Oryzias latipes: one gene and its partners. The protein of the gene in region 1 interacts with the protein of each later gene in a biochemical or structural test. Links are inferred from orthologs where the notes say so. Each region holds a gene or a part of one and is shown in the gene's direction. Other genes may lie near its edges. The genes, in order: discs large homolog 1-like protein, adgra2, arhgef26, tmem178a, kcna4, tanc1 and rho guanine nucleotide exchange factor 16.

Region 1 (4,265 bases):
CCAGCGGAAGCAGGTTTCAGTAGACTAAAAAGTCTAGTTTTGATTTGAAATCAGCTCAAATTTATGTATTTATTGGCTGTTTTGATGACTGGCAGGTGGATGGACTCCACTTAATCCTCCCTTTACTTTGTCCTGCTCAAACTCAGTTTTTAGGAACTTTGTCAGTCAAGGTGGGTGGGGTATAATCAGGTCCATATGACCGATACATGGCCCACCCTGATCCTAGTGATAATCCAATGTTTAGATCAGTGGGACTGACAAAGCATTCTGCTTCACTCTGAAGTAGCTATCAAAGCAGAATCTGACATCATTGAATCCTAACCTTTTCAATTTCATGGGTAAGCCTTTCAGTGGGTAAAACATGATCACCCAGATGGCAATTATCAAAACATGCATCGATTTAAGTGCTAATGGGATTCTGAGTAGAGTAGGAGTGTAACAATTCAGTTTAACAACGAATCGATTCATGTAAGTTGTGGTTGATGATACGATTCATAGTCGATATTGTAGTTCATTTTGAACGATCCGAATCATGGACATAAAATCGATCCAGGACATCTTCAGCCAAAAGCTTCAACCAGTGTGACTCAGATACCTGGTACTGAACATTGCAGGTGAGGTTTTCCAGATTCCTTGTATTTCTTGCAAGATTGTCAAAGTTAAATTAAATATGTGAACAAACAAACAAGTTACCAAGAATTAGTGGTAAATATATTCACATTTCAGTTTCTTTGATTTCAAAATAATACAAGAAGACATTATTAGAGCATTCTACCACAATGTTTGGTCACGTCTTCAAAGTGTTTTCACATATTGGACTGTTTTTCCGCCGTCACATGTCTGTTGTCTGCTGTGATGCACTTGGTCGTTTTTAGGTTATAGTAACATAAAAATTCCATGCCTCAATTCAAATGAGTTTTTCCCCCCAATATCAATATAATCGATTCATTTAATTTTGAAAAGATTTTTTTTCAAATGATATGGATCGATTCCACTAAGAACGTGCCTCAGAGAGATCGGAGGAATATTAGTCGATTCGTAGATTAATTGTTTACACCCTTAATTCTAAGTCTAAATAAAACAAACAATAAACCCCCCAACAAGAATTGGGTCGTCACCCCTCTGAATGAAAGGAACAGTTCCACGCAGCTACTGTTTCCTGGTGGGGCACTTCTCCCCACTTTTTTCCGTTTTTCCTTCATTATTTCCCTTAATCGTCACATTTGTAACCTTTAATCCCCCCACCCCCACCCCCTCCGCTCCCTTTGGAGCTTCCTTCCTCTATCCACCCCGCCCCGCCCCTCCCGTTCTCTCTACTTCCTGACACTTTCCTCTGTTCCTTGTTATCCTTAAGTCCCCCCTCCAGTTTTGTAAGTGTGTTTTTGTGTAAACGTGTATGTGTGTGTAGGTGTGGTGGTGGTGGTGTGGGTGTTGGGGGGGGGGGGGGGGGGTGAGTCACATGGTTCACGTTCCCAGCTCCGCCATTTTGGAGGAAAGTTTGGGATTTGTGGACCTGGGAGGAGGAGGAGGGGGAGGGATCTCCTGTCGGACAAGTTTGACACGAAAGCAGCAGGCAGGGAGGGGGCAGCGGGCTGGACTCTGAAGTTTTCTTGATTTTATTTGGAGCGGCAGCTCGTCTCCGGACCTCCGGCTCCAGCACGCCCCTCCAGCGCGGCCCCGGGACGGCGCCGTAGGGTGAGGTCCCGCAGCGGGAAGCCGGACCGTCACTTCCCCGCAGCCGCGGTGAGCCTGCGCGGGGCTCGCCGGCTCAGGAGCCTCCCTCACGGGAAGTTCAGAGCCAGGACTGCCGCTCTGTTCGTCCCTAAATTCTTCAGTTCTTGTCTGGGACGTCTGTGTTGGAGCCCGTGGGAGCAAAAGCTGCAGTCCGGTTCGGCTCAGCCTCACCTGCCTCAGAGTTTTGCAGGTTCGGACGGGAACTTGGTCGGTGCTGACTGATTGGGAAGGGTTTTTCTGGAGCGCCAACAGCGGGCTGAATGTGGGACTAATCGAGCCGAACCTGCCCAGTGTGAGGACTGTATGCGGCGAACACAGTGCCGAACCGAGCCATGCCTGTGAGAAAGAAAGGTAAGCGTTCACTTTAGTTATGCACCAAGTAGGCGAGCTAGCTCTGCTAACGGCTGAAAGTCTTAAGTGCTGGCTCGTGCGGAGAAACACGAGACTCATAAGAGACAGACGCACAACCACGGACTCACAAATACGCGGCCCAGTTTGGCCTCCTTAAGCAGAGCCGAGCCATGCCGGCCAGGTGAAGTAAGTCAAAATAAAGCTAGCTTGTTAGCTTATGTTGCTAACCAAGTTATAAAATTGGCACCTTGTTTGGAGAGCGATTAAAAATAAACTTAATTCGAGTAAAACATTCGTGAGGTTTTGTTCCCTAAGCAGGATAAAAAAAGTGTTCTAAAGACCTATGATCATCATAATGGGTCATAAACGAAGCGGAACCGGTTTAATGTAGCGCCAACAAAAATCATAATAATAAGCCAGAAATGTGGATAACAATCCAGTCAAAATGGAACTAAAACGAAAGTGTGTGTTTTTAAAAATATATATTTTAGATATAAATTATAATAGTTAAATTGTCCACAGCAGGTTTGATTCCAGATGTGGTTTAGTTTGTTGAAAGTTTGCTGTGTAAATACAGATGCCAGGTTTGGTTTACCTGCAGTCCATTGCAGCTACGGAAGCCTGGAAAGCTCCTCAAAAATCTGCTCAGAAGCCGTCACTAAGAAGTCCCCTTTTTAGAATGCTTGTGTTTATTAAAAGTTACCACATGACCCTGAAAACTGTATTTTGAAACTGTTTCAGATAAAGTTTGACATTTTTAAAGCTTTGGCTCAACTAAACTTTGAAGTTGGTAACATTTGAAATGGACAAACTCGGATGTAAACAAACCTGAAAGTTGATCAAGTATTATGTATGAAGTTTCCCTTACAAATCTGGATTACTAAACTTTCCATTAGTGTATCCCAATGTAAAGACTAATCTTACTGGGGCCCACTTCTAAAAATACATAAATTACAAAAGTTTTGAATAAAGATGACAGTATTACATAGCCTATTTATAGTCTTTATAGTCATTCAAAATCCCAAAGATTAAAAACAATCAAACAGACGAGTCAAAACAGTACGGTACTTGTTTTTGTTCACCTCATGGTAGGTCTTTTCAGAGCTTCCACTGATTCACCCATGTTTTTTTGGCAGAGATTTTTACACCAAATGGCCTTTCTGACACAACCCTGTAATTTTTCCGGGCTGGGGACTGGCACAGGGAGTCTCAGTCGTGGCCCCTTGTGGCTCCGTAGTAAGGCAGAAGGGTTTTGCCCGAAGACCCACACTGGATGACGCTCATTGCGCCCCCTGGGAAATGAACCCTGGTTACCCACGTACCAATCCTACACACAGCCAACCGAGCTGTCAAGCAGCACACGAGGCAAAACAGCGCAATGTAGATTCGTTTCATGTATATTTGAATATTTTGGATTATTGGCTACTTTAAAACTACTATCACTACCTATAACCATTATGTCTAAAGGCAGCCTATTCCTCTAAGCAATTGCTCTATAAATAGCTGTTTTTTGAGTGCATTAGATCATGGTAATAGAAAAGTAGCTGAGGCCCTTTGTGTGTTAAAATCAGGTCTAGGAGTGTGCAGTAATTGTGAGATTAAGCTTTAATGTCCGCATTTTATGTACAGACAGACCCAGACTACAAGCAAGTTTATCATTGATTTTTATCCATGTCAGACTTTGATGCATCCAGTTCATATTAGTTTTAAAAGGGCATCCTAGAGCCAGTTTTCCAGCGTTACTCTGCTTTGTCTGAAGTTTAAGGTCTTTGGGCGACGCGAGACCAAACTACAGGGCAATGGTCCACGTATCACTAAATACTCCGGAAACATTTGTTATAATAATTGATGTGCTTAAACTTTGGTTTGGTTTGACTAACCTTTGAAGTTGATAACATTTGAAATGGTCAAACTCAGGAGTTGATCAACTTGCTGTAGTAAAGCAAAAATGATTTATGCCATTTTAAAAACAGCTTAAATGCAACAACTCCGCCCACTTAGAGGCTGGATTCCACGGAAATCGAAATTTGACTGAAACCAAGGCGTGTCACGGAGTGTAATGCATGCCCATAAAATGGAAATGCAGCTAAAGTGCTTAGCAATGAAGGTCACGACCACATAAAACAGGATTAAACTGGAAAAATGTATTTAAAACAAACATACACCTTATCTCAAATAAA
Region 2 (3,976 bases), on another chromosome or scaffold:
TTTACTCTTCTAAATATAATGTAAAAAGCCTCTAAAATGTTATGTTTGAGTGTAAATACACATTTAGGTCAGTGCTGCACATCAGATCTTGGTTATGTCTTTGAAAGGGACAGACAGGGTGGGAGAGACAGACCTTAGAGAGAGGAAATGGTGGGTAGCGCCTTGTCTTTCAGCACCACACTAATGAGCTTTGTGGCACACAGACTGAGAGCAAAAGAACAGTTTTTTTTTCCTTTTTGCACTGGTCAACAGCTCCTACACCACTACTGACACACAGACACAAATGCATTCTCAGGACACAGCAATTACCACATGCATCAAGACAGACAGAAAGAAACTCCAGACATAAACACCCAGGAGCATTTTTCTGTCCAACATAGCTTATTTTATTTTGCTTTCTTACTTGTGGGTATGAGAAGTTTCAATTGTACCTTTATTTTAATCAAATTGAAATGGTTGAAAAAGACTTTGTCTAAAGCTTTCTGTCAAATAGCTAGAGCTATCCAAAAATGCATTAACAAAAGCATAACACACTTCAGAATGACTGATTTAAAGCTAGAAAACTGCTGCTCCATCCTAATATCTGTCAGCAATCCAAATATGAGGAGTGTCCTGGAGGTATGTTGCATCGACATGAACCCTCTTTTGCTTTTATCACAGCCATTCCATACTTTTCGGGTTATTTTATAAAACAATGCCTCTGTCCAATGTTGACCAGAATAGAAAAAAAAAAGCTTGGCTTTTGCAGATTAAACATCACAATGGTGAAGAAACGCCTGAGGTTATACAGTGCATAACGGAGCACCATCTAGAAAAGCAATGAGAGACTGTCTTTTAAAGGAAAAAGGAGCATAAAGTTGCCTAAGGGTGTCCATTTTACAAAAGCACAGCAAATAAAAGGAGATTTTAAAAAAGGATCATTGCATTCATGTTACCAATCCCTCTAGGAAAACGTCTTCTGTGACAGTTCCAACAGGAACACATTTTTTTGTGCTTTAGGAATGTAATCACATGTCCTGTTAATAGCCTTCCATCTTTTGACCTGTATTACTATTCCCACCTGACAAATAAAAGAGAAAATATGGGATCCATGTAGGCATCTGCTTAAGTTGTTTAACATGTGTTAGTGGTTGCAGAACGTCTTTAAAAAAAAAGGATATTAGCTCTATAGACTATGAAATTAGATCTTCAAAAACATTTAAAGATCACAGCCTCTATGTTTTCTTTGTGCCCAAGTATTTTTTGAAATTTGGTTAAGAAATTCATTTTTTCTACACCTAGATCCAGGGCGCTGGGAGAATGAGATTTCCTATGATTGTGAAGAATTATTGTGCATTGTCCCACAACAGGAATCAGCTTTTGAAAAATGTGTCAACATACCCTTTCATAAAAATCTGAGGAAGCTGTTTTGTTTAAAACTTTGTCAATTTGATGTCATTTTTTAACTGGTTCTAGCCTCCATGCGAACAAGATGTAGCTTCTCTGTGATTTTTTTTCAAGATTGTCTTTGCTTTGTGCAGACCTTGACAAACAGTTTTTTTCTTGAACAACTAGTAAATGAATTGGCTGCTGGCTTCAGTTATCTTGAAGCTATGGGGTAGGGAATCCAGATGAACTTTAGTTACAAAACAGCTGTATTTCTGCCAGCATAAACACTCCTGCATACATTTTCAAAGTTTTCTCTCTCTATTTCCAGAGACCTCAAGCACAACTTAATCAGCACCATCATGCCAGGAGCCTTCCAAGGCCTGTCTGAGCTTCGGAGACTGTAAGTAGATCGTGATATGATCGCAGCTCTGCTGAGTGTAAAAAGTACAAACACAAACTTAGTGGACTTGAAATGATTGGTATGTGATGACAGATTCCAGTTTATTTGTGTGATCTCACTAGATGGACAGTAAATGAGTCACGGTAACAGTGTTTTGTTGGCTCACAGTAGATCATATTGAGCTCCTGGTGACAGTATGACATAGACGCCTCCTCAGATAAATGTTTCTGCCGACATTTGTGGAAGCTCCTGGGTGTCAGGCCTGTCGACTACTACTGTAACTTAGGGGCTACCCATTACTAACGTTTGCAGCCACTAGCTGCTTTCTCCTGGTGCTTTTGGAGTTTAAGGCTTTGTTGCAGAGTGAGACGAAAGTGTTTGTCTGCGCCACACCACATGACTCCCCATCCCTCCTCCTTGTACTTGTATTTTCCCTGCGAAGTCTGGGGCTTCTCAAAACAAACAGGGAGAGATAAACACATGCTCTGGACAGCTTTCTGCTGGGTGGTGTCAGAGGTGCAACAGAGCAGATCCTTTCTGGCTACAGCCATACATCATGCTCAGTGGTGAACAGGGGCCCTGCTTTTATCCCGCTGATGATAAACCTTTACTTGGATCCTCTGGGATCCTGAAAAGGGAAAGTGTCTGAGGCTTTTTGTTGGCTGGTTTGAAACTTTAAATCAGGAGAAGTTGGACTGCGTTAAAAGAAGGTCTTACACTTTCTTATAAGGTAAGCTTAGAAGAAGATTTCTGGATTTTAGAGCAGTGCTCGACATACTTCAGGTCCCCAGTGTCAGACACTGGAGCTCATAGATTTTCAATATATAAACAAAGGCCCTTGTGCTCTGAGATACTTTCAAATTGGCAACAGTTGACATTCTGAAATGAACTGGATTGAAAACTACAGATAATTTCAAAACATTTCAGCTTTATTTGAAAGCTGTTGTTGTTATGAATAGAAAATTAAGTTAAAAACATCAAAAGTTTTTTGACACAAATCTATTTTTGATAAAAAGTTAGACCTTTAAAAATTGGAATTAATAGAAAATTGGTTGATAGCTCCCTTCTGAAACCAGCCCCCCAGTGGGCATTTAAGGAACTGTTACATTTGGTACTCTCGATTGAAAATCAAGTTATAGGACTTGGTTTTCACATATTTGCACTATGTACATTCAGGAAGTGAAAGGAAAATTGATATATTCAGATTTATATGTTGTGCGTTAAGGGGAAGTGGTGTAGTGGTTAGCAATGCCACTACCCAGTGGATTCTGCATGTCCTGGCCATGCATGCATTGGTTTTCTTTGGCTTCTTCAAAACCAAAGGCATGCTTGATAAGTTTATTGGTGACTCTAAATTGTCCCTGAGTGAGTTAGTGGTTGCTTATCTCTGTGTGACCCTGCAATGGACTGGCAAATTGTCCAGTGTGTAGCCCACCCCATCCCGACAGTAGCTGGGTTAGGCTTCAGCAACCCTGTAACCCTGATCAGAATTAAACAAGTGTATAAAATAGACAAATGGCAGATTTCATGCAATAAATCAAAAATCCGATAACATTAATATTTTACCACATCAGAAGTTTCTCACATTTGGTAAGATGAATTTTACCTGGCATGCAATATACTGTCTCAAGAGAATATATCATACAGCCCAAAGTGGCTTTTCAGGACACAGTGGGCATAGAAAATCAACTGTATTGTGACAGGGCTGTGGACAATAAAGCTTTTAAGAATATTATGTAAGATTCATAAAGTATGTGTCCTGGCATCACTAAAACAGAGGAAGTGATAAATAAAAATGATCTCTCTATTTGCAAAAAGTTAAAACAAGTTTTGATTTGAAAAGAAGTAACTGTGAATAATTTGTTTTTTCACACTTCTAGCGACCTCTCCAACAACCGCATTGGCTGCCTGACAGGAAACATGTTCCAGGGGCTGACAAATTTGGCTAAACTGTAAGAGACAGATTGATTAGTGTCCGTGAAACTGTTGTGTTCTTTGATTTGTGGTGAAGACATGAAGAGAACCTTGTTCATGACTCACGTATGCATTCTGTTAGGAACTTATCTGGCAACATCATTTCCACCCTGGATTCTGAAGTGTTTGAGGAGCTGCCGTCTCTCAAGCGGGTGTGAGTACTGAAGAAAAGTGAGCTTGCTTTTGGGAGCAATACTGTCCATTTGTGAAAACAAACAAACAAACAAACGAAAA
Region 3 (3,523 bases), on another chromosome or scaffold:
GAAGCAGTCGTGTCCTGTGGGCCAAGACTCATTTGAAATGTTTCAAAGCGGGAAACAGTTCAATGGTCACACAAGTCTAAATTTGACATTCACGATGGTGATTATAGAAACTATGATGCCTGGAGTTAGAAAGAGGCCTTCTTAGCATTCAGTCTGCATCCAGCAGCTCTAATGTTGAGGGGCTGAATGAGTGTTTGGGCAGCCTTTGTGTTTTAAAATGAACTATGAAGGCAAACAAGTGTATAAAGGTCTTGGAGCAACATATTCTTTTCCAGAGAATGTTTTTAATTAGGAAAAGGCCTAATGGCACAATCCTTATGCATCCGCATGGCTTTGTTCTAGAAGTCCAAGTAAGGAACAGACATATGACTGTTGTAGATTTCTTTTTTTTCTGTAGATTTTTCCTATTTGAAGCATAACAAACTGAAAAGTACAGCATAAACCACCAAAAACTCTCCTGCTCCTAGTACATGGCTAAACTTCAACACCAAACTTCATAGCATATAACCTCCATAGCCAGTCATCTTCAAACTGGTGCTGAATCAGTGTAAAAGTACACCTATCTCAAATGTAACAGATGTTAAAATGAACTTAAATTTATATTGGACACTAAAGGCCCACTCCAATCATCTTTTGATTTATTTAAGTGATTCCAGTGGTCTTTTAATTACGATTATGCAGTTTTTAGCCAAAATCAAAAAAATCTTTTTTTTTTTTTTTCAGGACCTAGTTTCTGCAGAGCCGCAGTAGGTCATCAGAAATTCACCTTGGAGAGTTTTGGGTGGGACAGTTGGCAAGGAGCAACCCCACCCCTCAGCCCCTTCCCATTGCTGAGAGCTCAGAGCAGGGAGCTTGTGGCCCGTCCAGCGTATTTTTCAAATAGTAGTTTTTTATGTCTGATTCACCACAATTTGAATTAGAATCTAGAAATGCAATTTTAAGTTTAATTTATTTTTTTAAGAGTGGGCCTTTAAATCGTCTAAATAATTATTTTACATATGTGTTCTTTTGTGAATTAATCAGGTGTGATGCATTTTTCTTTTCATTTTGTTTCAAAAAACAAACGAGCAAAGAGTTTAAAGGTTTCAAAAATTCTTGTATTTTCCCCCAGATCCTCACCTGAACTCCATCTTTATTATTCTTCTCACCCTTCTTACCTTTGGTCACATACTTTGCCGCTCCTCCTGTTCTTTTCCCTTAATAGGCCAAACGTTCGTTTGAAGTTTCACATCTCTAAAGTGTGAAGGCCAGGGGTCATTTCAGTTTGGGTGGCTATAGCAACCAGCTTTGATGTTAAAGAGCAGTAACAAAAAAAAAAGCCTAAAACTCTGTAGAATGAAAAATGAGTTGTTTTTTTCATGAAACTCTTGTTCTTTCCTCAGGCTGGTATGAAGGTGAGCGTCTGCGTGATGGGGAGCGGGGATGGTTTCTGGCAGAGTGCGCCGTTCAAATCACGTGCCAGGTCACCATCGAACGCAACATGCAGCGGATGAATCGCCTGCAGGGGCTGGAAACGGATGTGTGATGGGATAACAAGGGGACGGCGTAAACTGCGTAACTGTGACGCCCCGACACGTCCATGACCCCGATCCTGAACCGCCGATTTCCGACAAGTCAGTTCAGCGGCTAAGCTGAGCTACGAGACAACTCTAATTTAACAGAATGACAAAGAGGAAGCCGTCACCCTGCTTAGCGCGCTCTTAACACCAGTTCTTCCAACCGTTCAGAGGACAGAAGGTTTTCTGAATCACTCATCAGTCTGTGCTGGTTTGATCTTTCGGGTCCATTAATTTGCCAGCCAGTCGGGAAACTTCACACTTATAGCCAAAGCTGCTGCTTTCAGCACCCTGCCATTAAAACAGTGTGAAATTGTAACAATTTTTTTAAACAAATGTGCGCTTAAACTAGTCCAGAACCATTGCAGGACATAAACCATGCCAATTAGAGCAGAAAAGAACATCAGCCATGTCCTAATGAGGCTCAGTTTGAGAGGAAGAGCTTTACTCCAACCAATATGTTAGACTTCCTGCTTCATATGAAATCAGAGGCATTGCAGCCGTCTGAGAGGAGCGATGGCTTTCGCCGTCCTTCGGGTTAAGCAGAGGGCCAAATGTCCGTCCTCTGCCTCGCTGTTTGTAATGGCACATCATGAATCACACTCCACATTTGTGTCACGGGTGCCATTATTCTCTCCATCACTTCAGTAAGGAGGATCGAGGAGAGAGAAAAAAAAAATACAACACTTGGCAGTGACCAGAGGTGGCTCTGTGCCTCTTTAGGATTTATATTTGCGATGCTCTAGAAATTAATGCCTGCGCTGATGGTGAGACCCGCGGAGACGGGCGACCCCGCCTGGCCCGCTTTTAATGTGATTGTCCGGAGTGAGTCATCTTTCAAGCGTTTCCCAGATATAAAGGAAATAAATGGCTTTGTCAGGGCATGGCGATAATGCCATCTATCAAACCCACTTCTCTGGAGCTGACCCAGATGATGAGCACAAGATTGGAAGAGGTGAGCAAAGCAGCCAGAGCCAGTGTGTGGACTCCGCATTTTTGCACTCAGGGAAAACCGTTTGATACCGCCCATCTAAGCGTGACATCGTCTTGTAAGAACTGTAAATCTTCCGTGTAGATATGTAAAACATGCATGTTTTTGTTAATACAGATTTATATCAGATCTTGTAAATAGAAAAACTGATGTTTGTTATTAAAAACCTCTGCCGTCTCAGATTCTAAAATTCTTGATTTCACTTGCTGGTAAACTTTGACCCATAGAAAATGGTGTTTCTGGGTCGGCCGTGGTGCAGAGGTATAGTGGTCGACCTGGGATTTGAAGTTCACCAGTTCGGTTCCTGCTATGGATGCCCATGTGTCCTTGGGCAAGACACTTACCCCACATTGCTGCTGATGGTTAAAGGTTGGTCCAAGTGGAGCAGCCATAAGTGTGTGAATGGGACTGTGACTGTAAAGCGCTTTGGGGTAGTTAGAGGGCAGTAAAGTGCTGTATAAGTATACGCCTTTAGGTGTTTTTTACGAAGATTTAAAAAAACAACTAAAAGGAAAACATGAAAGTATATTTTTAAGTCATTCAATAAGCCAACATAAAAAAAACTTTCCAAAACAAAAAAGACCACAGGTTTGTCTAAATACAGATTGGTCCGTGCAAAATAATAAACAAGCGAATTGAAGGACAAATGGAACTAGTTCAAGTGCAGACTACATGTAGATTTTTTTCCAGTCCTCTGTTTGACCTTCAGCAGAACTCTAGAACTAAAATTTAAATCAAAGACACCAGCTGCTTATTCGAAATGTCCCAGCCAAACTTGGAGTCTCAGGATGCTGGCAGTCTTTTCCAGGCCACCTTTAATCATCGTCGTCATCAGCATCATTGAAGTAAATGTGCTGTCCTTTGGGGGCGGACGCCCACGTCCTCCCACTGCTGCCCGCGGCCCTCTCCTGGGTGGTGATGAGGTCTATGATGGCGGTGATGACAGCGCAGTCTTTGGACTGACGGTTCTGCCAGT
Region 4 (4,747 bases), on another chromosome or scaffold:
TGTGCACACAGGAGCTGCTTTTTTGAAGGTGTGAGATGTTTGTTCTGATGAGAAGAGCAAACATCGTAGCTGCTCACAAAGCATGTTCTCGTGTGTGGGAACATAAATAGCTCTGGGGAACAGCAGGGTTCTTCTCAGTTCTGTTTTGGAACCGTCTCGCATCAACGTCACCTGAAGGTCCAGCGGCTGAACGTCTGCGTGAGGTTTAGAGCTGAAGAACAGCAGACGTTCAAGCAGAAACTTTTCAATTCAAAGACCTGATTTTTGGAAGTGTGTGAAGGTTACTCAAACAACACAATGTTGTGTTAGGGTTTTCCTTCCTATCGTCATGGAGATCCTGGAAGAATCCCATTTTTGAACATTTCTTTGATCTGCAGCTGAGAGTAGACAAGAACCTTTATGAAGGAGATCCAGCTAGATCTGCTTCCTGTTGCTGGACCTCTTCACCAGAAGTTCTGCCTCTGAATTCAGAACTTGTTCATGTTGTTTTGTCTGTGCAAATGTGGAAACGAAGAACGTCTGATGTTCTAGTTTAAAGTCCCTGGGAGCCAAGAACCAGCAGAACATCTCTGCTTTCCACTTTCAACTGCAGTCAGCACTTCTGCTCACCTGACATCATCAGCAGCAGCTCAGAGGCCACACCCCCAAGCCCAGAGTCACCTGTTATGATGTGTGACAGGACTTCCTTTGGCATTTCAAAATAAGAGTGATAGCTTCTACTGCCTTACTGACCTAAAGATTTCCAACCATCTCAAAGCACATGTCCGTCTGGGGCAGTTCTGCCGTTTCCATGGTAACCAGACACTGTCAACAAGTATCTCCAAGAAGTATGACACAGGACCAGCTTGTCCAAACTGATCCAAGCTGTGAAGATCTGCTTCTTCACCAAACAATGGGAAGAGGAAGCATTTCCTCCCGTAAATAACCTTCTTCTGCTAACCCTGACGTCCCGTCAGCCGCTTACTTCATGAAGTGATGTGTCGGTGTATTTGAGCATCTGCTTTTCAGTTCTTCATCTGCTTCGTCGTCCTTCTGTTGCTCCTGTAGTTTGTGAGTTTATTATGTCATTTCTAAGTTTCTGCCACATACCGGATCTCCTGGTTCTTGGGTCCAACACCACTGGCTGCTGACAAATCTTATAATAATTCTTTGCTCGTCTGCACAGTCATCCCAGTTTTTTTCATTTCATTGCTTTTAAACGAGGGATTTTTTTGTTTGCACCACAGATCATAACAAACTCTTATCAAAGCTTTCACTCCCATGGAAGTTAACTGGTTTTGGTTCTGAAGTTCAGCTTTAAATTCTTTGTTCTTCCCTCCTCCCCTGGAAGGTGGTGACTGCAGGTCAACACATGATGGTGTTTGCTAGAATGACATGAGACTGTGGTCCAGCCGCTCTTTCTGGAGAACCCGTCTACTGGGCCAATGGGAACCGCGTGAATCTTCTCCAACAACCTGCAGCATCAGGAAGAGGCTGGGGTTCTGGTACCGCTCTCCAGACCCAATCCAGGATTAGTGTTCAGGCCTTTGACCTGATCCGATTTAAACGGACCGACTTCATGTGTCTGGAAAACCAGAAACACTGCCGTCATCCTCCGCCGTGACGTCACTGCAGCAAAATAACTGTCATCTGTGACTGGGCTTTTATTTTGAAGGCTAGACCCCACGCCTCCGGTGCCACCCGCGTGCACGTTGACGCAGCACAGTCAGTCGGCATGACAACGCGCTCTCACTGACAAAGGCGCCGCAGCTCACGCGCCGGAGGATGGCAGCAGAACCTCCGTGTACCGGAACCGGTTCGGTCCTCGCAGTCATGCAGAGCGCGCGACCGGTCACCGTGAAAGTTTCCGCGGCCAGCCTCACGCTCAGCGCGCTCGCGCTCTTGCTGCTGGTTACCGCCATCTGCACGGACCACTGGTACCACACCGACACACGCGCGCACAAGGAGAACTGCGACCGGCACGGGGCGGACTCCACGGACCAGAAGAACCGGGACATGCCGATCTACCATCTCCCGCTGCTGGACGGAGGCGCGCGCCACCGAGACGTGGCGCTCATGAAGCCCGTGCACGTGGGTAGCCGCGAGGAGGAGCTGCTGGAGAACTGGCGCGCGATCCTCGGGATGGGCATCCTCGAGACTGAGTGCGGGAGGCCGCTGTTCTCCACGCACGCGGGGCTGTGGCAGAAGTGCTACTTTGAGGATCAGGACATCGACAAGCTCATCGCACGGGGTCAGCGCGTGCATGTGATACTTTACATACAAGCAAACACTCCTGCACGCACGCGCGTTCAGTATCACCAGAAACGTCTGCTGTTCACAGAGGAGAGCGCGCTCTAATGGCACAGTGAGTGAATGTCTGACGTCATAGATGCAAGACACCTGAACCTGGAGCACTGAGAATTGTGGGTAATGGGGTCCAGGATCCTTATGGGTCTGAACCAGAGACGGCGGACTGCAGATTTGGAATCATTAAGCAGCCCCAAACTGATAAAATCACTGAGTGCTACTGCTTGGAGATATTAGCCCTGTTCTGACCCGTTCTGACATATTAGAACTGTTCTGACCCGTTCTGACATATTAGACCTGTTCTGACATATTAGAACTGTTCTGACCCGTTCTGACATATTAGCCCTGTTCTGACCCGTTCTGACATATTAGACCTGTTCGGACCCGTTCTGACATATTACCCCTGTTCTGACCCGTTCTGACATATTAGACCTGTTTTGACCCGTTCTGACATATTAGAACTGTTCTGACCCGTTCTAACATATTAGACCTGTTTTGACCCGTTCTGACATATTAGAACTGTTCTGACCCGTTCTGACATATTAGACCTGTTTTGACCCGTTCTGACATATTAGAACTGTTCTGACCCGTTCTGACATATTAGACCTGTTCTGACCCGTTCTGACATATTAGACCTGTTCTGACCCGTGCTGACATATTAGAACTGTTCTGACCCGTTCTGACATATTAGACCTGTCCTGACCCGTTCTGACATATTAGCCCTGTTCTGACCCGTTCTGACATATTAGAACTGTTCTGACCCGTTCTGACATATTAGAGCTGTTCTGACCCGTTCTGACATATTAGAACTGTTCTGACCCGTTCTGACATATTAGACCTGTTCTGACCCGTTCTGACATATTAGAACTGTTCTGACCCGTTCTGACGTATTACCCCTGCTCTGACCCGTTCTGACATATTAGCCCTGTTCTGACATATTAGAGCTGTTCTGATCCGTTCTGACATATTAGACCTGTTCTGACATATTAGACCTGTTCTGACCCGTTCTGACATATTAGACCTGTTCTGACCCGTTCTGACATATTAGAACTGTTCTGACCCGTTCTGACATATTACCCCTGTTCTGACCCGTTCTGACATATTAAACCTGTTTTGACCCGTTCTGACATAGTAGAACTGTTCTGACCCGTTCTAACATATTAGACCTGTTTTGACCCGTTCTGACATATTAGAACTGTTCTGACCCGTTCTGACATATTAGAACTGTTCTGACCCGTTCTGTCATATTAGACCTGTTCGGACCCGTTCTGACATATTACCCCTGTTCTGACCCGTTCTGACATATTAAACCTGTTTTGACCCGTTCTGACATATTAGAACTGTTCTGACCCGTTCTAACATATTAGCCCTGTTTTGACCCGTTCTGACATATAAGCCCTGTTCTGACCCGTTCTGACATATTAGAACTGTTCTGAACCGTTCTGACATATTAAACCTGTTTTGACCCGTTCTGACATAGTAGAACTGTTCTGACCCGTTCTAACATATTAGACCTGTTTTGACCCGTTCTGACATATTAGAACTGTTCTGACCCGTTCTGACATATTAGAACTGTTCTGACCCGTTCTAACATATTAGCCCTGTTTTGACCCGTTCTGACATATAAGCCCTGTTTTGACCCGTTCTGACATATTAGAACTGTTCTGAACCGTTCTGACATATTAGACCTGTTCTGACCCGTTCTGACATATTAGAACTGTTCTGACCCGTTCTGACATATTAGACCTGTTCTGACCCGTTCTGAAATATTACCCCTGCTCTGACCCGTTCTGACATATTAGCCCTGTTCTGACATATTAGACCTGTTCTGACGCGTTCTGACATATTAGAACTGTTCTGACCCGTTCTGACATATTAGAGCTGTTCTGACCCTTTCTGACATATTAGACCTGTTTTGACATATTAGAGCTGTTCTGACCCGTTCTGACATATTAGAACTGTTCTGACCCTTTCTGACATATTAGACCTGTTCTGACATATTAGACCTGTTTTGACCCGTTCTGACATATTAGAACTGTTCTGACCCGTTCTGACATATTAGCCCTGTTCTGACCCGTTCTGACATATTAGAACTGTTCTGACCCGTTCTGACATATTAGACCTGTTCTGACCCGTTCTGACATATTAAACCTGTTCTGACCCGTTCTGACATATTAGACCTGTTCTGACCCGTTCTGACATATTAGAACTGTTCTGACCCGTTCTGACATATTAGACCTGTTCTGACCCGTTCTGACATATTAGAACTGTTCTGACCCGTTCTGTCAATTTAGACCTGTTCGGACCTCTTCTGACATATTAGCCCTGTTCTGACATATTAGAGCTGTTCTGATCCGTTCTGACATATTAGACCTGTTCTGACCCGTTCTGACATATTAGACCTGTTCTGACCCGTTCTGACATATTATACCTGTTCTGACCCGTTCTGACATATTAGAAC
Region 5 (4,080 bases), on another chromosome or scaffold:
GCGTCGGACGGTGGAGACGCAACCGGGGGACTCTCGGCGGAGACCTGCGCCACTCGGAGCTGGCGCTGCTCGGATCGGAGGAGGACATCATGATAGAGGAGGAGGAGGAGGAGGAGGAGGAGGCTGAGGGAGCAGAGGAGGAGGAAAAGGAGCAGCAGGGGGGCCGGGGAGACAAGAGGTCCAGCTTTCTGTGCAACATGGACGAGGATGAGGAGACCGTGTCGATCACGGACAGGCGGCCCCAGTCCGGGTACGAGAACGCCTACAGTGAGTGCGGCTGCTGCGAGAGGGTCGTCATCAACGTGTCGGGTCTGAAGTTTGAAACTCAGCTTAAGACTCTCTCTCAGTTCCCGGACACGCTGTTGGGAGATCCCGACAAGCGCATCCGATACTTCGACCCGCTCAGGAACGAGTACTTCTTCGACCGGAACCGGCCGAGTTTTGACGCCATTCTTTACTATTACCAGTCAGGGGGGAGACTAAAAAGACCCGCCAACGTCCCGTTTGACATCTTCTCCGAGGAGGTGAAGTTCTACGAACTCGGAGAGGAGGCGATCCTGAAGTTTCGGGAGGATGAGGGCTTCGTGAAGGAGGAGGAGAAGCCTCTGCCGGAGGACGAGTTCAAGCGTCAGATCTGGCTGCTGTTCGAGTACCCGGAGAGCTCCAGCCCTGCCCGGGGGATCGCCGTGGTGTCCGTGCTGGTCATCGTCATCTCCATAGTCATTTTCTGCCTGGAGACGCTGCCAGAGTTCAGGGATGAGAAGGAGTATCTGCAGCCGCGGGACAACTCCTCTGAGCCCGACCACGGATTTACGCCCTTCAACGACCCCTTTTTCATCGTGGAAACCGTTTGCATCATCTGGTTCTCCTTTGAGTTTATAGTTCGCTTCTTTGCGAGTCCCAGCAAGACCGCTTTCTTTAAAAACATCATGAACTCCATAGATATTGTCTCCATTTTGCCTTACTTCATCACCCTAGGCACGGATCTGGCGCAGCACCAGGGCAACGGCCAGCAGGCGATGAGTTTCGCTATTCTGAGAATAATTCGCCTCGTCCGGGTGTTTCGCATCTTCAAACTGTCCAGGCACTCCAAGGGGCTGCAGATCCTGGGTCACACCCTGCGCGCCAGTATGAGGGAGCTGGCCCTTCTCATCTTCTTCCTAGTTATAGGTGTCATTCTTTTCTCCAGCGCGGTGTACTTCGCCGAGGCGGACGAGCCCACCTCTCAGTTCACGAGCATCCCCGACGCGTTCTGGTGGGCCGTGGTCACCATGACGACGGTGGGCTACGGAGACATGAAGCCCATCACCGTAGGTGGGAAGATAGTGGGCTCCCTCTGCGCGATTGCGGGTGTGTTAACCATCGCGCTCCCGGTGCCTGTCATAGTGTCCAACTTCAATTACTTCTACCACAGGGAGACCGACAACAACGAGGACCAGACACCTGTGGTGGAGAGCATGCCTCCAGGATGTCCGTATTTCCCCGACTTTCTAAGGAAATTCAAAGGCTCGCCCTCGGGCTCCTCGCTGGGGGATAAAGCGGAGTACATGGAGATGGAGGAAGGGCTGACGGAATCGCTATGCGGGTTGGACAAGAGCCCCAGTAAAGGAAACGGCACAGACATAAGCAGAAAAAACAGCACTAACTCTAAATCTATTCAGACAGACGTGTGATTTTTTCTGAAAAGACATTTTTTGCCCAGCATCAGGTGACTACCCCTCAACTTTTACGCTCCATTCAACCCCTCTTACGCACTCATCCACCCCTTTCACAGTGGCAGGAAAATGCTCCATTCTTTTTCTTTTTTCCTCAACACCAACTTCAGAACCATATTGTATCATCTGAGCTGCGGGCTTCCAACTCTAACATCTAAGTCCAGTTCCACAGAAGAGACAGGCTATGCATTCGCACTTTATGAGTTTTTTTGTCACATCCGAGGGGTAGGGACGATCATTTTGCTGTTATGCAATAAAGTTATCATTTGTTTGCACTAAATTAGTATCTGCGCTGGGTTTGGGGCAAGTTCCTGTAGAGACAGAAAACTGTAGGCCATGCTGGCAACATTTTAGGAATAACTTTACGGAAAAATGTTAGAGAAACTTCTAAAAAAGCAAAGTAACATAGAAAACAACAGCGTTTAAACCCTACCAAACTGTACTCCATTGAAGAAGAAAATAAGACAGAAGAACTACCTTTATCTCTGTTCCAACACTTAAAATATGAATATATATCCATAATTGTTATATATCTTTCTAAAGAGGCTTTATTTTAAATGAGTCAGGGCTACATTGAGATACGTAGTTTAAAAAAAAAATCCCCTTCCTATCCTAAACTAAAGTAAATCATCACCATGACAAGAGTTAAGCACATTCATCATCATTTATGGCTGGAGAAATGACTCGTTGCAGGTCATCTGGACATTTTTGGAGCCTTGAGACAAACCCCTCCCCACCTTTTTTTTTTTTACATTTTCCTCCACTTTCATTCAAACCACCTCAAAGTGACAGTATCCCTTTACAAGATGGAAGATTATAGCAAAAACGACTGTTGTGGAAAATTCTTCAAGGAGAGTTTACGCGCAATTTTTTTTCTCAAGTCAATGCACAAGCGTACATGGCTCAGAAAACCAGCGGAATAAGGATGTCTTCCAAGGTATGTGACTTTTACTCCTTTTTAATTGACACAAAACACACAAACAAAGCCTCTAAAAACAGGAACCACTTGAAGAAAATCCATGCAATGCATTTGTTATTTTCTCGCCCTTGGATGTATCTCCACTACCTTGGTAATCTCTTAGACCCCCCCCCCCCCCCCAAAAAAAAAAGAAAAAGAAGAAAAAGATGCATGGATGCGCGTGCGTAACCGTGTGTAAAACACGATATGAACGCTGGACGACTATGACGCACATTCCTGCCAACATCAGTTAATGTTTCTCCTGTGCAACTTTACAGCTACCCTCAGACCTCATTTGCAACAATATCACAGCGTTTTTCATTAATAACGGGGGCAATTATTTCATCCATGATGACATCAGGTCAACTTCAGGGGAATTGTACTTAAACTTTTGTAAAAAAAAAAAGCAACACCTCATAATTCTGAAGCTCATTAATACACAATCTGAACCCCATTTTTTATCTTCATTTAAAAAAAAAAAAAAAAAAAAAAACATCACTCAGAGTAATCACTGACACCGTTTTTATACTCTTGGCTGTTGATAAGAGGTTTTGCAGAATCCCAGCTGCATTTCTGTCTAAAGTAACACAAACACTGTAATTTAATGAGATTTTGTTTTTGCTTGATGAAAGTATTTTAAACCTCCAAAATAAAAGGAAAGAGAAAAGAGGAAAAAGAATCATATCAGGGTTGTCTTCCAACAGAATTCTTGCTTTAGCTTCTTATTAACTTTACTAGATAACTTACTTTGTGTGTGAGAAAAGAGGGGAGAGACTATGTGTGTGTGTGTTTGCAGAATTTGGCACAAGTAGGATGTTTTTACAACCATCTGCTGAAGCAGGAACGTTTCTCTTTGAGCTTCAGCCAAAGAAGAGTTCACATGAGCAAAGGCTGCATGACAAGTTTGTGGCTTTGTGGTCAAATATATATCCTGTACTCAGTTAAAACGTCAAAACTCTTAGCGCTCTTCATCCTTGAACAGTAAAATAAGAGAAGCTTTAAACAAGGAAAAATTTACAACATAATGGATTCTGAATGAGATAAAGGAGGGTTATTTCATGCGATCGTACTCTAAAACTTTACTGCATCTCTCAAAGAAATGAAGGAAGGTTAGTTTTGGGAAGCTACTGCAAAAATAATACCAGACGTGTTGAGCTTTACCTCAAAAGTTCAACAAAAACAAAAGAATAAATAGAAATTTACCACCTGGTTTCAAATATGCAAGTAGGCAAGATGCTCATTTTGGAAAAGTGCAGCAATGATTTATACTGCAAGTTGCAAAAAAGTGGAGAAGCATTTGTTACTGTCAAAAAGTTGAAAAAGGTAAGCAAAGGTCCTGTAGAACTTTGCTGTTCTTTGATGCCAAAAGGCTCTGTAATGTCAGCAGCCAGAACGTTCCTTCCAGTA
Region 6 (3,976 bases), on another chromosome or scaffold:
ATAATTGGTTTGCATAATCTTGGCTGTTTGTGCTGACTTTTTTACATCTGGACATGTTTTCCCTGTCCTGACTGGGGGACCTTTCTGTGTGGAGTTTGCATGTTCTCCCCGTGCATGCGTTGGTTTTGTCTCTAGGTGTGATTGTGGCCCTGCGTCAAACTGACTGGTGTACCCTGCCTTTGCCCACAAGTGGCCAGGCAAGGCTCCTCCTGCGGCCCTGTGACCCCGAAAGGGACAAAAACAGGTTTTCATTTAGCTTCTGCAGTGCACCTCTTACCCGCCATGACACTCTGATGGATTCTTTTCACCTGCTCATATTTGATTTTCAAATCGTTCAATCATTTCTTTGGAGCTTCTTAAGGTTTGTAGCTTCATATTCTAATGCAATTTGCTGTGAACCACTGAGTGGATCTTGGTGTTAAAACCCTGATACACCCTGATACAAACAGAATGCATCAGTTTACTGCACCATACTCAAAATATCTGAAAAAAAACCTTTTTTTGAGTACTTTCTTGGTCATTTATTCTGGTTTGTTTCTGCCTTTCTGTTTTATTTGTAAGTTTTATGACTCCCTTTGGTCAGCTTTGTTGTGCTTGGTAAAAAAAATTTGACCTTGACCTACTGCTCTCCAGTGTGTAGCTGTCAGATGAAATCAAAGAAAAACAAAGAACAAGGGGCTTTGACTCTGGGATGCTCTCTGCTGCACTACACTGGTGCTCTCACACACATGCACACACACAAACACTGCCTTTAGCAAGCTAGAAATGTCAGAGCACACTGGTTTGTTTCTCCTTCATTTATCTTTTCTCAAATATGGCACAACTGCAGTAACATTTTTTAGCAGTGTCTGATTCTGCCCGAGTCATGTTTTTTTTTTTTTTTTTTTTTTTTTTTTTATGAGGGCACACCCCAAAAAATTTAGGACAGTCTGCTTCATTTCCTTCTTTTTCTGTCTACATTTGTGTTTACAGCAACCAGTTCCACAAAGTTAGAAGACTTGGGCTTTCTTGATGAACAGCGCAACACTCCCCTCCGGACGTCCATCCGTCTGCCCTGGCATAACACAGGAGGACGACCCCCCCACGACTCCAAAGGTGACTGTGCTGGAATGCACTGTCAGTTTATTGCTCACTCAAAGATAACTTTGTCATTTTTGGTAGATACAGATAACAAACAAAGTTGGTGATTTCCTATATTGCTTTATTTTGAACATTTTTTGTGTTAATTCGACACTGCAAAATGTGTAACTTCCTCTCCTGATGTTTAATAGTGGATGAAATTGTAGCTAGAAGGTTGTGGATTTTCTAGTTCTAGTTTTTATAAATCCAACACGTTGAATAAACAAGTTAAGAAGAAATGCTAAATATTATTGGGATAAAACTGCTTATTTTTTTAATTGTATTATCTAAGTACTACAAATGATTGGCAATCTGTACTTCAAAGCAGTTATTCTTAATTCAGTTATCTGTGACACAAGTCTTTCACTAATTTGACAGCACTGAGGATAGAAAATGTAAGTCAGCTTTTGCAAAAATAAGATAATATTGTTTTTTTTTCCTTTTCAGCCCGCTTTGCTCCCTACAAACCTGCGGACATCATGCTCAAGCCTTTGCTGTTTGAGGTGCCCAGCATCACCACTGACTCTGTGTTTGTTGGCCGAGATTGGCTCTTTCAGCAGCTGGAAGACATCCTAAAGGCCACTGAATCGAATGGCAACCAAGGCGCTGTCGTTTTGGGCAGTGTGGGTCATGGCAAGACTGCCGTGATTTCCCGGCTCGTTGCACTGAGCTGCCATGGAGGACGCATGCGCCAGATTGCTTCCAATAGTCCAAGCGCTTCACCGAAAGGTAACACCTTAAATGCAATACAAACATTTCAAACTCCAAAAATGGGACAGAACGTTAACTGGCCCGCAATAAGTGTAGTTTATGTAGACACATTAATATTGTTTATATGTATATATGTGTTTCCTATGCATTGCAGCCCAAAGCACAGAACTCCCCCTCAGCCAGCCGGCTCAGGCCACTCCCCCTTCCAGTGCCGCCAACACACTGAGGACCAGCAACTGCCCAGCAACCCCTGAGGTGCAGCGGCGTAGAGAGGAGCCCATGAAACGTCTAGCTTCAAAGGTACACGTCCGGGTGATGGATCCCACACTATGAAGAAAGATAAAGCAGACCGATGAGGAAAACTAAAAGCTTTTTGTGGTAGACGATTAACAAAAATTTTTAACTAAATATGAAAATAAAGCATTACAGTGCAGATTACCACTGAAAATAAAGACATTTTGACAAATCAGTACATTTCAGGTATGCAAATCTATTATCTTGAAGCCATCAAATGTTTTGTACAGCTGAGACACTTTCATGAATCGAATTCTTGTAAAGGATCGACTGATAAAAAGATTTTACAACTGTGGGGTTTTTTAAGCAGGGTTTTGCAAGTCAATGGCTTTCTTGGACCCATAAGAAATCACTTTAAGATTGAATCATTTAATGAAATTAAAATGTTTCCTTCTATTTTTATTTAATAATTCAAATAATCCTTTTTTTTTTACATTCTTAAGATGCAAACTGACAGGGAAAGAATAAACTGCACAGGGATGCAGAATGGGAGCAATACAACAGCATACATTCATATTAATCAAACCACTTGGTTTATATTTGATGGACACTTTTGATCACCTTCATGAAAAATGAACATTTTCAGCTGTAGTTGGGCAGTCAGACCACCTATCAAATAAACCCTTCTTAATTTTTGTATCCGCTAAGTGATAAATTGGCCTAAACCAATTTAGGGGATGGTGTATCTTGCAGTCAGTAGAAAATGTAAAGTATAACATTGATCTTCAAAACTCGTTAGTTTTAAGGTAAAAAAGAGTCAATCTAAGAGACAGTTTAAAATAATAAATAATAAGCTTTACACTGAAAGTCCAGATCAGGATTAAAGAAAACTATTAGATTTAATCAAAACTGAGACCTATTTTCTAGTGAAGGCATCTGTTTACAGCTTTTTAAGCTTTTGTGCCCTGAATTGCTCATCTGTCTTAGCCGCTGTGTCGTCTTGCGATGCCTGTCCGGTGGAGGCAAACTTACCAAAATAAAAGCCTAAATGTTCATATTTTCTGACCACTGAGAGATCATTTTAGGGGGGGGTCATCCTACATATCTGTTAAAGCCTAGCACCACATCTTGTGCCAATTACAACTTAAAGCGTTTCCAACTTAGTCTTTCTCTTGGGCAATGCTGCTGCTTTCGAACGCTGATGCAACACTGAGCAGCTTCTGTCAATTCTCTGTAATCATCGATTCAAACGTGGACTTCAAGGCTTTTACTTTTCCTGCTGTATTTCAAGCCTTGTAGTTTATTCATTTGATAGATGAAACAACATATATTTAAGTGTCTGCCAGTACAAGCACAGCAGGCGGAATGACTGATTGTAATTGCTTATTGATGAAGAATTTCCATACAATACTTAGATTTAGCTGCTGTAATGAAATGGCTTTTTAGCTTCACACAGACACTGTGAGCCGGACATCTTCTGCAGCTTCTTTTGGTTTCACAGCACGTATCTTCTAAGATTGTGCGAGTCGTGAAAATACACAATCTATACTTACACCACCGCTTCTTAGACGTCACCCTTCCTCTCCAACCAATCTAGTCCCAAACCTCCCAAATCATCAAGGGAGAGAAATCTTAAAAATCCTAAAAGAGGTAATCAAGTAGTAAAAATGTGAAAGGACTCTAATCTTAACAATAAAACCACTAGAAAGTAGTAAGTGATCTCTCCAGGCATCAAGTCATTTTTACTTAATGAGAAATCTTATTAAAAGATCTTAAAATATAGAAAAAAAAGTTTCTTACAAGCATTAAGAAAGGAAAGAACAAACTTAAAAATATAATTGTAATAGAATTATTTAAAATTGAATGTTATTCATCCCAATAATATGTATTTTTCTGATAGTTCTAAGCAAAC
Region 7 (3,976 bases), on another chromosome or scaffold:
AGACTCCAGTGGAGGACCAGGGCATTGTGGTGAAGAATTACAAGCCAGCACAGCTGACCTGGAGCCAGCTGCCACAGGTTAACCCTCTCACCTTATAAGTTTCAATGCTCTATGTTGAAATTGTCATATTTTTTTTGTACATCTGAAAATCTTTTCATTTGAGAACTTTTAAAGATTACTCTACTGAGTAAAAGTCTCCCCTCGTTTTTGTTTAGGGGTGACATTTGCAAAGGTTTTAATTCCAAAACATTTAAGTTTTTTTAACTCATTCTTTAAGTTACATATTTTTCTGCTTTGATATCTTGCAAAGGTGAAGAACTCAGACATTCTTTCAAGGATAACACCTCAAGAGAGAAAAAGACAAGAGGTAATGGCAGCGTTTTTCTATTTCATGGTTTTTTGATGATGAGCTCCTCAACCATAGAGAACTCCTGGAAGCCAGTTACTTTATCAGAAAGAATACATTAATAAAACACATTTTTTGTGTTATGTAGCTTTCTCACTTATTCTGGATGTCACACTGTGTCTGCATGACTTACCCCCCCTGCAACAGTTGCTAGACCCCAAATAATGAGTGCAGTTCACTTTTTTGTTGTTGTTTATTTTTATTTTTTGATAGAGTAAAAAAAAATGCCGTTTATCTACGCTGATGACATTTATTTCTTGATCTGCTTTTGTTTTTTATGAATTTATAAACAAAAGCTTATTTTTTCAATTTACATGCATACCAGAAAATAATGAAGTGTGTAAAACAAATCTCTCTCATCTCAAACTGAAGGTTCAGGCAGGTTTAGTGTCACAATAAAGCCACCTTTACGTTCCCTTCCAAAACTCTTTTCAAATGCTAATGAAAATCACACACCAATAGCAAATGACTTTATGTATTTATGTCAATTTTTTGCTCAGTGGCCGCCTTAGATATGAATGAGTCGAAACTAAAAGTTGGACCTGTGTGTGCTCTGGAGTTGTTGAATAAAGCCACACCTTGCCTGTGTAACCACTCTCTGTGGGAGTCCCCTGATCACTTCTTTGTCCTGCTCTTTTGTACCTTCAGCCAGTTTCCTGTGTGACACCAAAAACACAGACTAAAATCCACCACACACATACCACTTCTAGAAGAATTTGCAAAACCTTTTTTATGTACTGAATATGTTTCATTTGACGTCTTTTTGTTTTCTTTTTGTCCTCTCTGGACCACTTTGTCTAGATTTAAGAAGGTTGTGAAGTTTATTATATCTCTGTTTGTTTATTTATTTTCTGAGCCAAGGACCAATGTGCACATAACTGTTGCACGTTTGTGTCTACATAAAATTCACGAGTAATTTCTTGTTTCAATGTATTCTGGTTATCACGAAAAAAGGGGGGAAAAAAACTTTAAAGTGGGTTCAGGATAAAGTTTTAAAGGAAAGGCTTACACACATACATGTTCTGTTTTTTGTGTTTAATGTGCGGTGATCTGTCATTTCCTATCTGTGATTATTTGGCAGGCTATTTTTGAGATCATCTGCTCAGAGCACTCATACCTACACAGCCTGGGCATCCTGGTGCGTCACTTCAAGAACAGTAAAACACTGAGTAAAACGATGGCGCCCACAGAGCACCACCACCTCTTCTCCAACATCTCTGTAATTCTCAAAGTCAGCCAAAGGTTTGAAGCAACACCCTTTACCACTTTGATAAGAATCTAACATGTTTTGTTATAATGGGCTTTGTTTAACCCTTGTGCTATCCTACGACCCCACCCTTACATTGATGTGTTCTCCCTACCATGACAAAGGTGGATAAAGGTGGAAAGATTTCATGTAATCCATGGACACCAGTGAAGATCAAAAATCACTGAAGAAAAAAGGTTCAGCGCACTGTCTTTTGGGGTTTACATGACCCAACTCCCAATGTTAAAGTGCCTAGGATAGCCCAAGGGTTACGGGAAACGTATATCAACCACTATTTAAAGTTTGTATGAAATTGTAATATTTTCACAATGCCAGATCTGAAATGATTTTGAGTTGTTTTAATGGTGCGTGAAGGTGTAAATATACCCGGTTTTCTTTGGCTGAAGGGTTGAAAACGCTCCTTTCCTGTCGGTTTCAGTATTTGCCCTCAGTGTGCCTTTAGTTTTGTGTATGTTCCATTAACTTGTTAGGACTTGTGAGCCAAACCGGTTTTGCTGCCTGAATGCACCGAGTTGTGTACTTTGCCCTAAAATGAAAATGTTTGGAAGTGAAATTGTTTTGTTTTCTTTTAGTTTCATTTATAAATGAAGTATTGGTTCTGTTCTATGAGCAAGAAAAGTACTGTGTTTAGTCTTAAGACAGTGAAATGGGATGTGTGAAGCCAACGAACAGTTCAGCTTGTCTATGGAACATCTGACCGCCTTACGTTATCTGCATGTGAATGTGTGTCATAAAGCTGCCTCTGGGTGTGGTTTAGCTTTTGGTGTCATTTTACTTCTTTTGGTTCAAAGTTCAGAACTGCAAAAGAATGTATTGCTATCCAAAAGAAGCACTTTGGCAGAAAAGATCTTAAAATTGTTTTTTGTTTTCAACATATAAAATGGAGAAAGAAAAAATGTGTCATCGAGAACTTTTATTTAGTTTCTGATATTCAAAAATATGACTTATAGGTCATCTAACTTGAGAAAATGTAGGAAAAAAAAATCACTTTGACTGTGGTCCAGATACAATAACACTAGAGAACAAGCAGAAGTATCCAGAGATTCTCTTCTTTCCAGCTGAATTACTTCTACTTTGCCAGTGTCTCAAGCCGTGCAGTTAACTGGATGAACTGAGACAAACTTCTGTGGTAAAAGTAGTTGAAGAAAAGTCACCTCTGTCTTGGTTTCCAGTTAAATTGTGTTTTTGACAATATTTTAATAGTAGTTTAGAACAATAAATTATTTCAGCCAATTTTTACAGGAATGACTTGTGAGCTGACACTTTAGTAGGTTATAGGCTCCAACATCCCTGTGACCCAGACTCTCTGCTCAAACAGACCCCTTGGAATAAGTCCCCCCTCGCACATTGTTCATCTTTTGGTTTATCCCTTCAGGGGCCGCCACAGCAATCAGCGTTCACTGATTCGCACAGGTGGTTTGGCAGAGATTTTTTTTTTAAATTATTAAAGTCTTCCAAAAGGCTAAGAAAATGTTATTACCAAGAACTCTTATTTTAAGAAAAAAAATCTAGTCAACAAGACATGTCTTCTCAAACTAAGATAATTTTGCTGTGGAAAAACTTACTTTATAAGATTATTTATCTTGCAATACAGAAAATATGACTTTTTTTTCTTGAAACAAGTGTATTTTTACTTTCTGTAAATGTAGTTTTGGCAGCACTGGGAATAAAGCGAGTTTGGATGGATGGATGGATGGATGGATGGATGGATGGATGGGGGACTAACTGCCTGCTCAACTAAACATTAGAGCACATTTAGATAACATTTTGTAAAAAATATTGAGTATTTGTATTAGTCGCCCAAGGCAATAAGCAGCAGAGAAACTTTCAAATCAATTTTGACTTGGTTGGGTAGTTAAAGGGTGAAAAGGCCCCTCTGTTTATATGTCTCTGACTGCTTCCATTATTCTGGATGCTCAGGTTTTTCGAAGACCTGGAGCGTCGTCACCAGGAGGACGTGGTGATCCGCGACATCAGCGATATCATTCAGAACCACGCAGCGCACCACTTCGAACCTTACATCGCGTATTGCTCCAACGAGACGTTCCAACAGAGGACTCATCAGAAGCTGCTGTGAGAGTCAGAACAAGCTGCAAGTTTGTTTTTGTTTTTGATGTGATGTGATGACCAAGCATCTTTTTTTTGATTTCAAGGAACACTAATTCTGCATTCAAAGAGGCTCTGAAGCAGCTGGAAAGCAGCAGTGAATGTGGAGGCCTTCCCATGTTCTCCTTCCTCATCCTACCCATGCAGCGAGTCACCAGGCTGCCACTGCTGCTCGATGTAAGCTTCTTCTTTACATT

The links.
Region 2: the proteins of discs large homolog 1-like protein (region 1) and adgra2 form a complex in vitro, tested with the Homo sapiens proteins (2 studies listed by BioGRID and IntAct, with this or other methods). The link is inferred for Oryzias latipes from reciprocal best matches to the Homo sapiens genes DLG1 and ADGRA2.
Region 3: the proteins of discs large homolog 1-like protein (region 1) and arhgef26 interact in a test that uses a peptide from one of them, tested with the Homo sapiens proteins (2 studies listed by BioGRID and IntAct, with this or other methods). The link is inferred for Oryzias latipes from reciprocal best matches to the Homo sapiens genes DLG1 and ARHGEF26.
Region 4: the proteins of discs large homolog 1-like protein (region 1) and tmem178a interact in a test that uses a peptide from one of them, tested with the Homo sapiens proteins (2 studies listed by IntAct, with this or other methods). The link is inferred for Oryzias latipes from reciprocal best matches to the Homo sapiens genes DLG1 and TMEM178A.
Region 5: the proteins of discs large homolog 1-like protein (region 1) and kcna4 interact in a biophysical measurement, tested with the Homo sapiens proteins (2 studies listed by IntAct, with this or other methods). The link is inferred for Oryzias latipes from reciprocal best matches to the Homo sapiens genes DLG1 and KCNA4.
Region 6: the proteins of discs large homolog 1-like protein (region 1) and tanc1 interact in a test that uses a peptide from one of them, tested with the Homo sapiens proteins (2 studies listed by IntAct, with this or other methods). The link is inferred for Oryzias latipes from reciprocal best matches to the Homo sapiens genes DLG1 and TANC1.
Region 7: the proteins of discs large homolog 1-like protein (region 1) and rho guanine nucleotide exchange factor 16 interact in a test that uses a peptide from one of them, tested with the Homo sapiens proteins (2 studies listed by IntAct, with this or other methods). The link is inferred for Oryzias latipes from reciprocal best matches to the Homo sapiens genes DLG1 and ARHGEF16.

The regions. Positions count from the first base shown.
Region 1 is NC_019875.2:12,784,518-12,788,782, forward strand, and holds the start of discs large homolog 1-like protein, read left to right. Parts: upstream 1-1,465; 5' UTR 1,466-2,066; coding exon 2,067-2,085; intron 2,086-4,265. UniProt on the Homo sapiens protein: Essential multidomain scaffolding protein required for normal development. Recruits channels, receptors and signaling molecules to discrete plasma membrane domains in polarized cells.
Region 2 is NC_019867.2:17,250,893-17,254,868, reverse strand, and holds part of adgra2 (adhesion G protein-coupled receptor A2), read left to right. Parts: intron 1-1,696; coding exon 1,697-1,768; intron 1,769-3,648; coding exon 3,649-3,720; intron 3,721-3,824; coding exon 3,825-3,896; intron 3,897-3,976.
Region 3 is NC_019871.2:12,832,061-12,835,583, reverse strand, and holds the end of arhgef26 (rho guanine nucleotide exchange factor 26), read left to right. Parts: intron 1-1,382; coding exon 1,383-1,525; 3' UTR 1,526-2,731; downstream 2,732-3,523. Other genes in the region: ATP-dependent RNA helicase DHX36, read right to left, coding at 3,363-3,523. UniProt on the Homo sapiens protein: Activates RhoG GTPase by promoting the exchange of GDP by GTP. Required for the formation of membrane ruffles during macropinocytosis. Required for the formation of cup-like structures during trans-endothelial migration of leukocytes.
Region 4 is NC_019859.2:131,321-136,067, reverse strand, and holds the start of tmem178a (transmembrane protein 178A), read left to right. Parts: upstream 1-1,665; 5' UTR 1,666-1,764; coding exon 1,765-2,230; intron 2,231-4,747. UniProt on the Homo sapiens protein: Acts as a negative regulator of osteoclast differentiation in basal and inflammatory conditions by regulating TNFSF11-induced Ca (2+) fluxes, thereby controlling the induction of NFATC1.
Region 5 is NC_019861.2:9,905,414-9,909,493, forward strand, and holds the end of kcna4 (potassium voltage-gated channel subfamily A member 4), read left to right. Parts: coding exon 1-1,673; 3' UTR 1,674-3,323; downstream 3,324-4,080. UniProt on the Homo sapiens protein: Voltage-gated potassium channel that mediates transmembrane potassium transport in excitable membranes. Forms tetrameric potassium-selective channels through which potassium ions pass in accordance with their electrochemical gradient.
Region 6 is NC_019879.2:20,885,573-20,889,548, forward strand, and holds part of tanc1 (protein TANC1), read left to right. Parts: intron 1-972; coding exon 973-1,095; intron 1,096-1,566; coding exon 1,567-1,848; intron 1,849-1,984; coding exon 1,985-2,130; intron 2,131-3,976. UniProt on the Homo sapiens protein: May be a scaffold component in the postsynaptic density.
Region 7 is NC_019865.2:7,808,012-7,811,987, reverse strand, and holds part of rho guanine nucleotide exchange factor 16, read left to right. Parts: coding exon 1-77; intron 78-310; coding exon 311-367; intron 368-1,487; coding exon 1,488-1,648; intron 1,649-3,593; coding exon 3,594-3,746; intron 3,747-3,826; coding exon 3,827-3,956; intron 3,957-3,976. UniProt on the Homo sapiens protein: Guanyl-nucleotide exchange factor of the RHOG GTPase stimulating the exchange of RHOG-associated GDP for GTP. May play a role in chemotactic cell migration by mediating the activation of RAC1 by EPHA2.